Arabidopsis thaliana: one gene and its partner. The protein of the gene in region 2 purifies or fractionates together with the protein of the main gene of each other region. This does not show direct contact. Each region holds a gene or a part of one and is shown on either strand. Other genes may lie near its edges.

Evidence for each region. Proteins that work in one complex are often made in the same cells at the same time.
Region 1: the proteins of MET18 (region 2) and ASE2 purify together in Arabidopsis thaliana (affinity purification with western blotting; one study listed by BioGRID). This does not show direct contact.

Annotation. Positions count from the first base shown.
Region 1 is NC_003075.7:16,573,777-16,579,475, forward strand, and holds ASE2 (GLN phosphoribosyl pyrophosphate amidotransferase 2), read right to left. Parts: upstream 2,978-5,699; 5' UTR 2,804-2,977; coding exon 1,118-2,803; 3' UTR 768-1,117; downstream 1-767. Other genes in the region: AT4G34750 (SAUR-like auxin-responsive protein family), read left to right, coding at 3,790-4,242. UniProt on the Arabidopsis thaliana protein: Catalyzes the first committed step of 'de novo purine biosynthesis from glutamine. Required for chloroplast biogenesis and cell division.
Region 2 is NC_003076.8:19,508,479-19,517,215, forward strand, and holds the start of MET18 (ARM repeat superfamily protein), read right to left. Parts: upstream 6,418-8,737; 5' UTR 6,297-6,417; coding exon 6,222-6,296; intron 6,151-6,221; coding exon 6,088-6,150; intron 5,997-6,087; coding exon 5,942-5,996; intron 5,864-5,941; coding exon 5,766-5,863; intron 5,669-5,765; coding exon 5,510-5,668; intron 5,411-5,509; coding exon 5,351-5,410; intron 5,158-5,350; coding exon 4,969-5,157; intron 4,871-4,968; coding exon 4,817-4,870; intron 4,361-4,816; coding exon 4,274-4,360; intron 4,174-4,273; coding exon 3,468-4,173; intron 3,320-3,467; coding exon 2,940-3,319; intron 2,812-2,939; coding exon 2,738-2,811; intron 2,174-2,737; coding exon 2,068-2,173; intron 1,969-2,067; coding exon 1,130-1,968; intron 753-1,129; coding exon 677-752; intron 606-676; coding exon 494-605; intron 274-493; coding exon 197-273; intron 97-196; coding exon 16-96; intron 1-15. Other genes in the region: AT5G48130 (Phototropic-responsive NPH3 family protein), read left to right, coding at 7,813-7,910, 8,009-8,078, 8,191-8,737. UniProt on the Arabidopsis thaliana protein: May select specific target apoproteins to which a Fe-S cluster produced by the cytosolic iron-sulfur (Fe-S) protein assembly (CIA) pathway is transferred.

The sequences.
Region 1 (5,699 bases), on a different chromosome or scaffold from region 2:
GAAATTGATCAATGTAACAAAAAGTCAAATTAAGTTACCGTTACAAGAACAAATATGTTTCTTACTACCTACGTAATTTATTTGATGTTCACAAATCACAATTTAGAGTGTTTGTTGAAAGAGATGGAACATCAACAAAACAAGCCTTGTAAAGTAACACAAATCTATAAAAGTCAAACCTAGTCATGTATTAACATAATGCTCGAAACAGAATGAAAAATATGCCACTAGCACAATCTTACTCAAACTACAAGCAAATTCACAACACAACACACACATCTCCTAAACGTATCACTACCTTTCCAAGCAAAAATTTCGTAGAACTCGCCACAAGCACAAGCCCCCATAAACCAGTTGCTCTGCTTCCGTTTGTAATGACATGGTCAAAATGTCAATGGCTTATCTAGTCGGCTTACTCTAACTTTCGTGTATCTCATATTTGAAACAGACAAGCTCACCATTCAAAAGCTTGTTTAGCTGAACAACACTCAAATGTATCACCGTCGTTTACTCAAACTCATATAGGAACCTACCTACCTAAGACTAGCTTCTCAATATCCAAGCAACAATGTCTGATGATGGAGGAAGAAGAAGTGAGATTGATGGGTGTGTAGAAACTTAGGCATCGTCACAATGGTTCCTTAATCTCGTAAATTCCTCTGTTTTGTGTGTTTGGATTTGAGGAAGTAACGAAACAGAACAAATTTATCCATTGTTCTGAGGGTATAGTTGTCATTTGGCACCATCTACGGTGACGTGGAATAGTTCAAACCATATTCAACCGAAATAACCAAATCGATAACCGAATCAAATTTTAGTAAATAGAGAGATGTCTCTCATATACCACATCACCCATTACATTTTCTGATTAAGTAAAGTGCAATGAAAACAGAGAGAAGATTTGAATTCTTAACGAGACAAAAGTAAACAAAACCTTTCAAAGATTCAGACAAGAACAACCCTTAAATCTTAATCCATCCCAGACTCAATAAAATAGTAAAAATGTGCCAGCAATTAAGGTCAAATGGAACACAAAATTCAACAAGATATCGTCATCATCTTACTCCATTAGTACCCAAAATTGATCATCATAATGCAGAACTTGAATATCTGCTATCTACCGTACCCAACCTCCTTCAATGTTGTGGATTCCTCCAACGAGACCATCATCGATAAAATCTCCTCCTCGCTTCACCTTATCCTCTGTAGGCTTCACCGGATAGTCCCCCGTGAAGCATGCATAGCAGAAGCTTCTAGAATCTTCCCCCAAATGTTTCTTTAACGTCTCAAACGACAAAAACGCAAGGGAATCACATCCGATGTAATCCCTGATTTCATCAACACTCATCCTATTCGATATCAACTCATTTGAGCTAGGCGTGTCCACTCCGTAGTAACAAGATGCAATAATAGGAGGACTCGCGATCCTCATGTGAACCTCTTTCGCACCCGCTTCTCTCAATAAACGCACAATCTTGGACGAAGTTGTTCCTCTAACAATCGAATCATCAACAACAACAACTCTTTTCCCTTCTAAAACTCCTCGGACTGGCGATAGCTTCAGCTTCACTCCAAAATCTCTGATTTTCTGAGACGGCTCAATGAAAGTCCTTCCAACATAATGAGACCTAATCAAACCTTGCTGAAACGCTACACCAGCTTTAGCCGCGTAACCAAGAGCAGCCACAACACCCGAGTCAGGCACAGCGATCACCACATCACAATCAACAGGTGACTCAGTAGCTAAAATCTCACCAAAGACATGCCTAGACTCATACACAGACCGACCAAAGACAATCGAATTAGGCAACGAGAAGTAAATATGTTCGAAAATGCATTGCTTTGGCTCAGGATGAGGCATCAAACACTGACATTTGACACCATCTTTATCCACAACTAAAACCTCACCAGGATAAACCTCTCTCTCATAAGTAGCTTCAATCAAATCAAGAGCACAAGTCTCAGAAGCAAACACAACAGCTCCATTACTTCTCCTACCCATAACTAAAGGCCTAAACCCATGTGGGTCACGAACAGCAACAAGCTTATCCTCAGTCACAAACACCATCGAATAAGCACCTTGAAGCTTCTCACAAGCATCAACAATTCTCATGAAAAAGGGTCTAGCTTTAGAAATGGCAATCAAATGAAGCACAACCTCAGTATCAGAGCTAGTATTGAAAATCGAACCATTTTCCTCTAAATCAGCTCTCAATTTCGTGTAATTCACTAAATTGCCATTGTGAGCAACACCAACAGAGCCAAATCGATAACCAGCAACAAACGGCTGAACGTTCTTGAGCATAGAAGAACCAGCAGTCGAGTACCTGACATGACCAATGGCTATGTCTCCTGGTAATTGATCGAGTTTGGATTCACTGAAAACCTCAGAGACCAAACCAACACCTGTAATGGTCTGAAGAACCTTATCTTTACTAACGGTAACAATACCTGCACCTTCTTGACCTCGATGCTGAAGCGCATGGAGAGCTAAGTAACAGAGTCGTGAAGCTTCTGAGTCACCGTAGATTCCGACAACTCCACACTCTTCCCGAGGCTTCTCGTCATAATCATCGTTGTCTGCCGCCAACAGGGTAAGAGGGTTTGAAACTCTGAGCGGAAACGAAGGAGAAGAAGAAGAAGAGGAGATAGAAGCCGGAAGAGGAGAGAAAGAGGAGGAGGAGGGGTTAAGGAAGGGATTACGGAGGAAACGGTGAGGCTTATTGTTGTTGTTGTTGTTAGAGAGCTTGTTGGGTTTAGCATTGAGAGATAGAGAAGAAGAGATGCTAGAGGTGGCCGCCATGGATGATTTTTGAGAGCAATGCGAATAAAAATTTGCTCTTTTAGGTTTATTTTAATTTTCTTCTGATTTGTTTTTGGTTTTGGGGTCAATTTGGGGAAAGGGTTGTATTTGACTGTGTATGTATAGCACACGTCGTCAGTGAAGTGACCGCCTCACCCTTTTTTTTTTTTTTTCTGCGAATCTTTTTAAACAATTTTTCTTTCGGCTTTAAATTCTTTGTACTTTGATGATATTTTAGAAGAGAATCTCTATTTTTTTCGTGGTGGGTCCCCTTTTCTGTGGCTCAAAATGCATTTTTAAAACGAAACGGGTCGGCTTGATACAAAGCGGGTCGGGCGCACACAATTAGAGAAAAGCAATTCTTAATTCATCAAACCAAAGCCATATGGGCTTTTCTTTGAGGCTTTGTAAAAAGCCTGCTCTTTCAAATTCTTAAGGAAAATCAAATAAAGAAGAAGATATCTGAGTATTTATTAATTTTCTTTTATGTGTTGAGTAAGATATTATATATTAAAAACAAAAAAATTGATATATGCATCAATTCAATATTCTTACCAAAAAAAATACACACAAACCAATTATGAAAAGTTGACCAATTTTGTTTCTGAAAAAAATTTGTTAAAAAGAATGAAAACAAAAACAGAGCTATGAATCTTTTATTTATAAGATAAAGAAGGAAAAAAAAAGAGAAAAAAAATCAAAAAACCATAAATAGAGAAGAGTAAAATCGTAATTTAGCAAACGTTAGAGGGGCAAAATGAAACCTAAATGATTAACCTTTAAATACCGTAACGCTCCCTTCAATATTCCCCTGCTTGCCGTATTATTCCAAAATTTGGTGAAAGCAACGCCTAAAGCAAAAATGTCTCTTCTCTAACCTTTTTTTTTTTTTTTTTTTTTTGCTCTCCAACTTTCCCTTCATTTTCTGGGGAAAAGCGAGCCAAAAAACGCAAAAGCAATCCACAAGAAGCAATTGTTCGATATCAATGGGGAAGAACAATAAGATCGGAAGCGTTGTTCGGATCCGTCAGATGCTTAAACAATGGCAGAAAAAAGCTCACATCGGATCTAGCAACAACGATCCTGTTTCCGATGTACCTCCTGGTCACGTTGCTGTTTCCGTCGGTGAGAATCGTCGGAGATACGTTGTCCGTGCTAAGCATTTGAACCATCCGATTTTCCGACGGCTTCTAGCTGAGGCTGAGGAAGAGTATGGATTCGCTAACGTTGGTCCGTTAGCGATTCCTTGTGATGAATCGTTGTTTGAGGATATTATTGCGATTGTGACTCGGTGTGAGTCGTCATCATCATCTGGACGAGGTAATCCTCCGGCGGCGACGCTTGAGGATCTCCGGAGGTGTAGTCATGTTGGATTGGCGAAGAACAACGTTGAATCTCGTCCGTTACTTCCTGGGATTGCTGAAAAATCTGTGTGCTAATGAAATTTGCAAACGGAATGTGATTGAAACTTTGGTTAGAGATTTAATTTTGAAAGTTTTAATTTAATTTCGTTGCTATTTTTTTTAATGATTTTTGACTTTGTTTTTGGGAAGGAGATGGCAAAATTAGGGTTTGATATTGTTTTTGGTTGTCGCCAGTGTCGTCGTCCCAGAATGATGAAGATTTGATGAAGGAGATAGTTTTTTTGGAGAGAGGAGCCCTCAGTTTTTAATTTAGATATTTTTGATTCTGGTCGAGAGATTCTTATTTATATTTCTCTTGGCTATTTTCAATTTGTATATTCAGATTTCTGAATTTTAACTGAGGAATAATAAATTAATTTGGAATTATTGTTGTCAATTTATTTGTTTATTGCTTAAAGAAAGATGCTTTTTGATTTTCTCATTATAGTTCTTGACTTCTTGTTACCGAAATATTTGGTCAAGAAGATGATTTCAAACCTAATTTGCAGTTTATACAACCAAAGATGATCTGCAAAATACCTTTCTGATTTCAGAGTTACCGTTTCAACACTATTTTCACTAATTAGAGTAACATTACTTAACAAAAACAGTAAACATCTCTGATTTGATATGAGAAACCAAAGAAAGTAAAGAAAAACCAAGTTACATTTTTTACCAAAAAAAAAAAAAAAACAAGTTACATAGAAAACAAAGATATTATATATATGATTCTCACCAAAAAAATATATTTACGTTTACTATATGAAGAATAGCTACTAAGTCAATATCATACAAGCAAATTAATGTTTGTAGATATCTATGCAAAATTATGTGATATTATTAGCTATACTGGTGTATTTGAAAGAGAAAAAAGTTATATGTTTGGTCAAAAATACCTTCATAATAAATGTAAATGTTTTAGACCGAACATTTTTAATCACATTAGAAAGTACTTTTACTTGTGGAAAATTAGAAAATAAATAATCGTGGACTATTTGTCTCCTCTAAATTTTAAAATTATCTCTCCCTACCTTGACCAACATTATCTAATTTCCATTTGTACGGTGTACGTGGTACGTACCTCCATCAAATCATATCACCTAAATCTTACGCTGATTTAACAGTTGGGAGTATCGCCCACTTGCATTTTCTCCACCTTCTAAGAAAAACAAACATATGACTTTAGTAGGAGTATAAATTTACAACAACGACAACAAAATAAAGTATTATCTACAAAGATCATCTCGGATAAGCTTAGCGTTGTGAGAAATGACTAATGATTGTGAGAAATGACCCTCTTCCTTCATTTTAAATTGACCACGAACGTGATCAACTTCTTACTTACTGTTTCCTTTGGGTTTTCACTTTTACTATATAACCTAATGTTCTCTAAGGATGAATTGATGATGAACACATACTGGTCTCTTTCCACTTTTTTAATATGTGATCACTAAAAAGGTTCTTTGCATAAGCTCAGTGTTGGAGGTTTTTAG
Region 2 (8,737 bases):
GATCTTTTAACTAACCTCTCTTCTGAAAGGATAAATCCTTCTATGCGGCAATTCCAACAACGCAACAAGACACTGAATTGATGTTTCTCTAACAACCTGCATACCATTTAACGTGGACATATTATCATTAGAAGATTCAAGAATCAATTCCGTTGGAAAAAACGAAGATGCTATAGAAAAGAAAATGATTTGTCACCATTAGATGCGGATATGATGTAAGCTTGATCAGGCATTCGATGATTATATGTGCATTATCACTGGCAGATTGTTGTCCTGCAAACAGATCAAATGGTTAATTCTCGGCAAAATTGAATATAAAATGTCTTTTTGAGGCTTATCAACTATTGCATTAACTCAACCATATACACAATCCCTATTATCAGTGGGCGCAAACGAATTTGAATCATATAAGAATTGTTTGATCTTCAACAAATGAAGCAAGATTTTATATAATGCAATAAGCTTTTGTATCCCAGCATCTAACTTTTCTTACCCTTAGTATCAGTAAGCGTTCCAGATAAAACCAGTAATAGACTGAAAAGAGTTTCTTTCTCCACAGAGTCCAAGCTTAAGACAGACAAGCCTTCCAGTATCAACGGTTGTAGCTGCACAGACCAATGTCTAATAAGAAACTGTTTAAAAAGGTACAAAAGACAAAGTCTAAATTAAGGCTCACCTTTTTGGTATTGTCCAATATGACTGTTACCGGAACATTGGATATAACATGAGCGAGAGCTACATGCAACATTGTTCTGAAAAAAAATGAAGAAACCAGTCAGCTGAGAATCAAATTTGTTGTTTGTCACAATAAACTGTAACTTGCCTATTTATGATATGTACTTGAAACTTGGAGCAACAACGAAGCCTAAACTAGTATGAGTTTATGTGGTAGCTACATCTAACCAAAATTAAACTAACAATCTTCAAGAGGTCTTCTTATTCTTCCAGAAAGGAACACTAAAACGGTTCTTGTGGGTGCAATTGCATTCTAGGGAAATGACATAGAAGGACTTAATGATGAAGACAGAGTACACACAAGAGCACCAAAGATGCTAATGACCAAACATTTTTCTATGAAAGAGTAGAACTATAAAAGAGTAACAATAAATATACTTAAAGATATATTTACCTCGATAGTGAAGTCTGGGAATTCATAATCAAAGACTCCAAAATGGGAACTATCGTAGAGAAACACCGCTGTTTATAGAGTGGTCGTATAACTGCATGGAATTTTCTGTTCAGACACACTTCCGAATCAGACATTATTATAGAGAATGCATCTGCTGCATGTTTCATGGCAGAAGGATGCAGCGCATGCCCAGAACAGTTATTGGATTTTAAACACTCTACTAGCACCAGAGCTATTTCATTAACTCTTTCATTGCCCCGCATGAGTAAACCTTTCCCAATCCATGCTAGTCCTGTGATTGCACGGGTTTGAAGGTCCAGAGAACCACAGTAACCTAAACATATCTTTGACATGGTTGTCTCACTTCCAACTATAATTTTAGCAGATCCATTAGAAGAAATCTTTTTTCCCGATGCAAAATCTGCGTGAAATATTATAGCACATGCTTCTTCCAAGGAACAATCCCTTGAGGTATTTGTTCCACCAGAACCCGAGCCCAATTTGTTAACCATTGAACCCAAAGCTTGAGCTGCTGGGATATAACCCTTAAGAAGTGTTACCAAAAGCAGATGTATAAGTGATTTCGCATCTGGAATGGATGCTGAGGGGGACGCAGCTATGATAACTGATGCAAATAGTGAAAGTATCAATTCATCCCTAGAGGACAAGTCACGCTGTAGACCCTCTAATGCAACAAAGGTCAAAGGAATAGACTCCATAGCTGGAAGCGTACAAGATGATACCACACTATAAGCTTTTTGGATTATACTGTTCTGTGAATCTACCAAAGCAATTCCTACAACTTGCCTCATCGTTGTCATCGCTGCCTCAACAAACTCCTGTTATAGAAGAGCAAATAAATTCATGACATCAAAAATAAATAAACCAAATCGAGTTCGAAGAGAAACAAAGAGTCTAAAGTTCATCTGAGCACTTACCCTACCATTAAAATCACAACTGAAAACTCCACAAAATTCAATTTGTTTCCACATACTGATAGCGAAATGCACCAAGAGTTGCTCGAGACCATCTATCTCAGCCACACTAATTGAGATCAGAACAAAATTCCACGAGTCAAAAGGACATGCAAAAGAGGAACGAAGAATATTGTTCTTGGCAGAGAGAAGGCATAGAGAAAAAGAATCTCCAATCAGATAAAAAACAGTGGAGCCATACACATGGATGCACCACAAATGTTTTTAAGTTTTCATCTTTGGAACGATAAAATTTGTAAATGAAGGAAAAAGACACAAAGAGGTCTCTATTTTGTAAAGGAATAATAGAAAAGACACTCGTGCTATTGCATTGCTTGTTGGTTTCCATGTGCTTATTATAACTCTCTGTTAGGTGAATGTGCCATCTATAGTTGTTTTCTATGTCTATTATAAAATCTTGACGGATTCTACCGAGTTACAAGGGGTTGACTAAGGGGAATAACACAATGAACCTGAACAGAGAGAACCTAAATACGCTACCAAAGTATGGCAGTTAACAAGTTGTATCATCCAGAATAGTTGGCTGTTTACGAACAACTAAAAGTCTAGATACTCACGCTGGCAAAGCTAGTTTATCTATGAGATAAAATAAATTCAAGAAAAGTTTGGGTACCGTGGAAGCAATTTGTTGGTCAAACACTTCAGGAGCTGAGAGCAATTGTCAATTGACTCGAAGTTTCCATTGACCTGACAAGTGGTTTCCAAATAGAAGTTAGATACAAGGAAGCTCTCGATCTGTTGCTTGTTGGAGATAGAAACTGTTAGATCAAATATAAGTGAAAACTTTATGGTCTAGTCACGGGGGTAACACATACATAGAAATCAGACAAACTGGAACAAAAAGCTTCTTCCAATCCTTGAACCATTTTCTCCACATACTTTGGTCCAGTGGAGCAAACTTCTGAAGTTGCTTCTAATATCATCTGATATGGAAGACCACAATGACTAGAACAGGCCAATGAGACCAAATTGTCGACAACTATACTCATGTAGCTCATAGCCTTGTCACTCTCATGATACCGATCAATAAATGAGCCGATACAGACCAGTGCCTTCAATGCCAATTCCCACACCACTGTTTTGCCACTCTTGGCTGTAATGATTGATGTTAATGTCACCAAAATATTCTCGAATTCGGTTCTCGATACAGGAGAAGAGCCGCCCCGAAACATACCCATAGTCAGCAAACCCTTAACTGTATTCATTAACAAAATAAATCATTTAGATAATAGGAATAAGAACATGGTAACCTAGAAAAAATTGTAGACCGAGTTCAGTATTAAGAAAAGACGGCAAGAACCACAAGATGGTGATATATCTATTAAGTAACCACAAGCATTCACCTCCAAGATATACATCCACAACAGAATCATCATTCGAGCGGCATACTGCAGAAGTGAACACCTGGATCAATGGAACTGAGAAGCTTTTCACCATAGAGCACCCTGAGTTTGCACATCCAGATGTTGGAGAACATTCCTCGAAACCCAGAATAAGATCTTTTGATGCTGCAAGAAGTTCAATGCATAGATGAAGACCTCCATGGTAGAGTCTGGTAGAGACTGTAGAGTTTCCGTTTTGAACAACATCGCCAGTAGAAGTTTTCTCTACAATCCCTAGAGTATTCATAAGGCGGAAAAATATGGCTTCAAAGATTATATTGCATGACTGAACCGAAGCTTTGGCAGAAACAGACAGTATCTGACTGATAACAAGAACCTCCAGTTTGCTTGGGTCAGGCATTTCTTTATACTGAGGGTATCTATAGATGGTATCAAAGACTGTGTTTATGCGTGTATCATCAACTACAAAACCTAAAAACGAGATATCTTGCTTAACAAGCCTCTGAAGAAGACTAACAGCATCTCTGTGGATCTCATTCATTTCAAACCCTGGACTAGTGAGGGATTCTATAGCAAATGACAAATGTGTCCCAGTAGAGGAATAAAATGTATCTTTCAAAGCAGACCAAAGAGCTCCATAGTGCTTCTTCATTCTGTCTACTCCATATTTCAAAGCGCAATCTTTCAGACATTTCAAAGAATCAACCTATACAGGTTTGAGTGGAACAAAAATAACTACACTTGTCCAACATCCGGAGTGGCATATAATCTAGATGTATTAACAGAAAACTACATGTTAAACGCACCTTTGCGACTGGTAGAGAAGAAGAAAGCTTTTCAAGAAGCAACGGAATAGCATACGGTTCAAAGAAAGGTGTCGAAGAGATCGCCAGCTGCAAATTGAATAAAGTACATCAGTGAATAAATTTAACCTAATGTTATACATTTATATATATATAAACAGGATTTATCATAATTCTCCCATTTTTAACCTAATACCATTTCAGCCATGCTTGAAACTGCAAGCCATACTTAGATGTAGAAAACAAAAATTAGTATTTCCATCTTCAAGGCATCTGTGCCCTCAGAAGCAGAGAAGCATATAAATTACCAGAGACAGGACAAGTCACTGTACTTTGCCTAACAGCTTTCAAAGAATGGACATGATATGCGAAATAGCTTTTCAGTCTAATCTTCATACCATTTTCTAAGGGTCTAAAACATTTTATTTTTAAGGAACTCCAAACCAGAATGATCAACTGATATTTAACCTTGAGAAACTAAGCCATTGAGCCACAATAAGCCAGCAAGAACTTTATGCAAATCATGAATTATGACACAATACTCACCAGTAGTCCCCTTGAGAGATCCTCTCTTCTAATATTAGCTTCGTCATCTTTTGTCTAATTAACCCAAAAAAAGAGCACACTAAACAGTTTAGTGAAAGAAAGAGAAACCCATCTATATAGCACATCATAAAAAGGATAGGCTTTAAACTCACATGCGTAAAATGAAGTGGGAAGTAGCAACCAATAACTTCAAAAAGATCAGATGCATCAGAAGCGAGTGGACCAGAAGGACTGGGGAACAAAGGAGCCAAAAGCTCTACTAGATGAAAAACTATCATTAAGCATTGAGGATCTTTTTCTCCGTCGATGGCTTCACACATAGCATAAACAAGTAGATCACCCTAGGAAATGGCCGTTTAGTCAATAGGATTACAAGAAAGTGAGGAAAGGTCCCGAGTAGTATTACAAATTTGGATACATATAAATAATTATTTGTCTTCCTACAAAGCTGACTCAAATAGATTTCCAAGAAAACATTCCTCACACAGTAGATCGAATGTTTAATTCTGAACTAAGTAGAGAGCATTAGCATACCATAGTCAAAATAGCTTCAGAATGTTGTTGTAAAAGGCACTCCAGAAGTTCAAAAGCGAGCTGCAAAGTCATTTAGCAGAAGATAATGAAAAAACCATCCAGCGTAGAACACAATCATTCAGATTAGATAACAGAATACTACAAATAACCGCTTCATACTTTGCGCTCATGCAGTGCTAAAGCTTGCACTTGCACATTCTGTATCATTGACTTCGCCATAGCTTGTACATCGATATCAGTAACCACACCAGCTACATCTTTCCTCTTCAGTAGAGCCAAACAACCAACAAGCGCCCCGCACATCGCTCTCCAATCTGCCTGATTCAAGTACAACAATCGTTTCACTTCTATGTTAAAACAATTGAATAGACACATTGGAATCGAGTATAATCAAACTTAAGAAGTATCAAATTACCAGCTTTTCGGAAAAGAATCCAACGAGCGTATGAACTATTGTATCGTTCAACGGCTTTGCTTTCAAACAATCGAGAATCTCCGCAAGCAGGAGAATACCTATAGTTATGAACACACCAATGTCCAATTGCGTTCAAATTGATAAGCTCATTAAACTAAGCTAGTGAATCGAAATACCTCGTGCTCGAACGAGGTTATCGGTTGTTGTCAAATACATCTCCATCTCTCTAACCTAAACATTAGCAATACAGAAATAAGCCAACAACACAAATAAAGCCTACGGAAGAATATTCAGAAGTTGTCAAGTGAGTGGAAATTGTTACCAATTGGGTAATAGATAAAGAATCATTCTCCAAAGAAGAAGCAATTGCTTTAAGACTATCATCCTGAAAACAAAATTAAACTTGGTGAATCAATGAAACTGTTGTTCTAAGTCTCAAAATTGATCAAAAGGTACCTGTTGAGAAGAGGAACGATTAGTGTCAACAAAAGTTTCGAGATGTTGAACGAGCTGATTCGGTTCTACCATCATCGCTACAAAAAGGGTTTTTAGGGTTTTTGATTTCTGAGGAGAGAGAGCTTCGCGAGCTCCGACGAAAAGAGGAAGAGAGGACAAAAAAAGAGCCGCCAAAGGAAGTGAAGGAGGAGGAAAACGAAGTGGTATTTTTGTAATTTAGATGAAAAATTATCGATATAACGTGGCGGATGTACATTGGTCGCTGAGTGTAAATATAGGCTCGCTTTGTTTTTGTTTTTACTTTTGGGCTTCTGATTATTTGGGCTGTTAGGCAATTTCCATGTTGTTGGGCCTGATCCCAAGAAATTAGAAATAGTACTTCGCTGGTTTTGGTATGAATTGCAGGAACTTTGTGCTGATGAATAGCATAAACCAAGTTTTAAGAATTAAGAGTGATTTTTTTTTTGTCAAAAAAAAAAAGAATAAAGAGTGATCAATTTTTTTTAAGGGAATTAACCGAATTTAGTCGTTTACGTGTTTTATTTATTTACGTATTGATTCTTTATGTCCTTTAGAGTTCAAATTTAAAGCTAACCGTTTAGGGCGTTTTCTAGAATTTGTAATGTTTCATATTGTTTTTGTTGGCATTTCTTTATCTATGTGGTTTAATAGAGTACACTTTAAATAACTTAAAGATAGCATAGAATACTAAAAATATTGCTGTCATTTTTACCAAAAAATCTATGTTAGCCTTTTTTTTTTTTGTCGACAAATCTATGTTAGTCTAGTAAATCCATTTAAATCTATGTTACATGTGTGTCAATATAAGTAATTCTCTAATAATTTCCTACTTTAGCCTCCTTTTCCCTGTTTTCTATGAGCGAATTCTTCCTAAGTAAGCAATACAGTACTTCGATTTCCTCTCTTGATTTTCTCGTAATGTACGATGGTTGCAAAAATATATATTTATATTCGTAGAAATACTCAAATCACTATTAATTAACGTATATTACATAACTCGAAGACCAGATCGTAACATCATAAATAAGCGTCACCAAAATGTCTGGTTAGAACTATTTAGAGTCTTGTTACAGTTAATGCATGAAAAAGAAAGAAAGTGTTGGAGTAAAAAACAAAAATGTTGTTGAAAAAAGCGAAGAAAAAATGTTATAATACAAGATTTTTCAACTCTTCTCAACACTCGAGGAACGTCGTCTTCAACTTCTTGCCTTGAATTTTGAGATCTTCTTTTTGAGCTCAACACTCGTGCGCATCTGACTTTGACCCAACATCTACTACGCATATATGTGTGTGTGCCTGCATGCAAGTAGCCATATTATAGTTTAATGTTTGATAAAAACGAAAACCAAAAGAAACTTTCTTTTTCTCAAATCTTCCTTAGCGTCCTCTTGTTTCGTGGATCCTAGAACCCTTTTTCTTCCTCTTCAATCCCCAAAACACGCAACTTTCTTCTTCAAAAATATAATAGTGAAGAAGAATAAATGAACGACCAAATGTCTCCAGTTTCATCATACCATATTGGTTTTGATATACTTTATCTACTTAGTTTTCACAATTTATATACTCAATAATGGAAACTTTCAGCCTCAAGGATTGTTCGTCCGTCGCCTCCAGCCCGATTTCTTCTCCAAATATCAGTACCCTTTTGAAAATCAAAGTTCTTTCTTGGTATGAATCTCAAGACTATCTTCGTGATGTCATATAACAAATCTGAATTATTCATGTTGTAGACTTATGTAATGTAACTGTGTGTGTGTGTGTCACAGGAGTAAAGAGACCGGTCTACCCGCGTCAGTACATGTTCGAGTTTGCAACAAGAGTTTTAACCTTCACAAGGTAATAATGATAATCAAATCTCTCTCTCAAGAAATTCTGTTTTCAACCAATACATGTAGCTTAGTGGTTTTTGTTAATATAATGCCTTACTTTTTTTGTTTATCTTTTGTAGAGTCTCTTGTGTGCAAAGAGCGGATATTTTAAGGAAAGAGAGGATCAGCTATCGGAGATCGAGATACCACAAGAGTTTCCTGGTGGAGCAGAGACCTTTGAGAAGATTATGCTTTTCATTTATGGCTGTCCAACTTTAATACATCCTTTCAACATCGCTGGACTACGATGTGCAGCTCAATTTCTTGAAATGACAGAGCAACATTCGACGGGTAACCTCTGCGAGAGATTTGACCTTTATCTAAACCAAGTTGTCTTGCAAAACTGGGATGACACGTTAGTTGTTCTGAAGAAATGTCAGGATCTAGTGCCTTGGTCTGAAGATCTACTCATCGTGAGCCGGTGCATTGAGTCTCTGGCTTTCACGGCTTGTATGGAGATTCTCGATCCCGAAAGACGAAGAGAAAAGCCAGTCATCATGCTTGAAGGTATGGTGAATCAACCATGGGAATATACAAACATAGAGAGAATAATAAACCAAGATACTTGGATCAAAGACCTCACGGATCTTCCATTCGAATTCTTCAAAAAGATTATTGGGTCGCTTA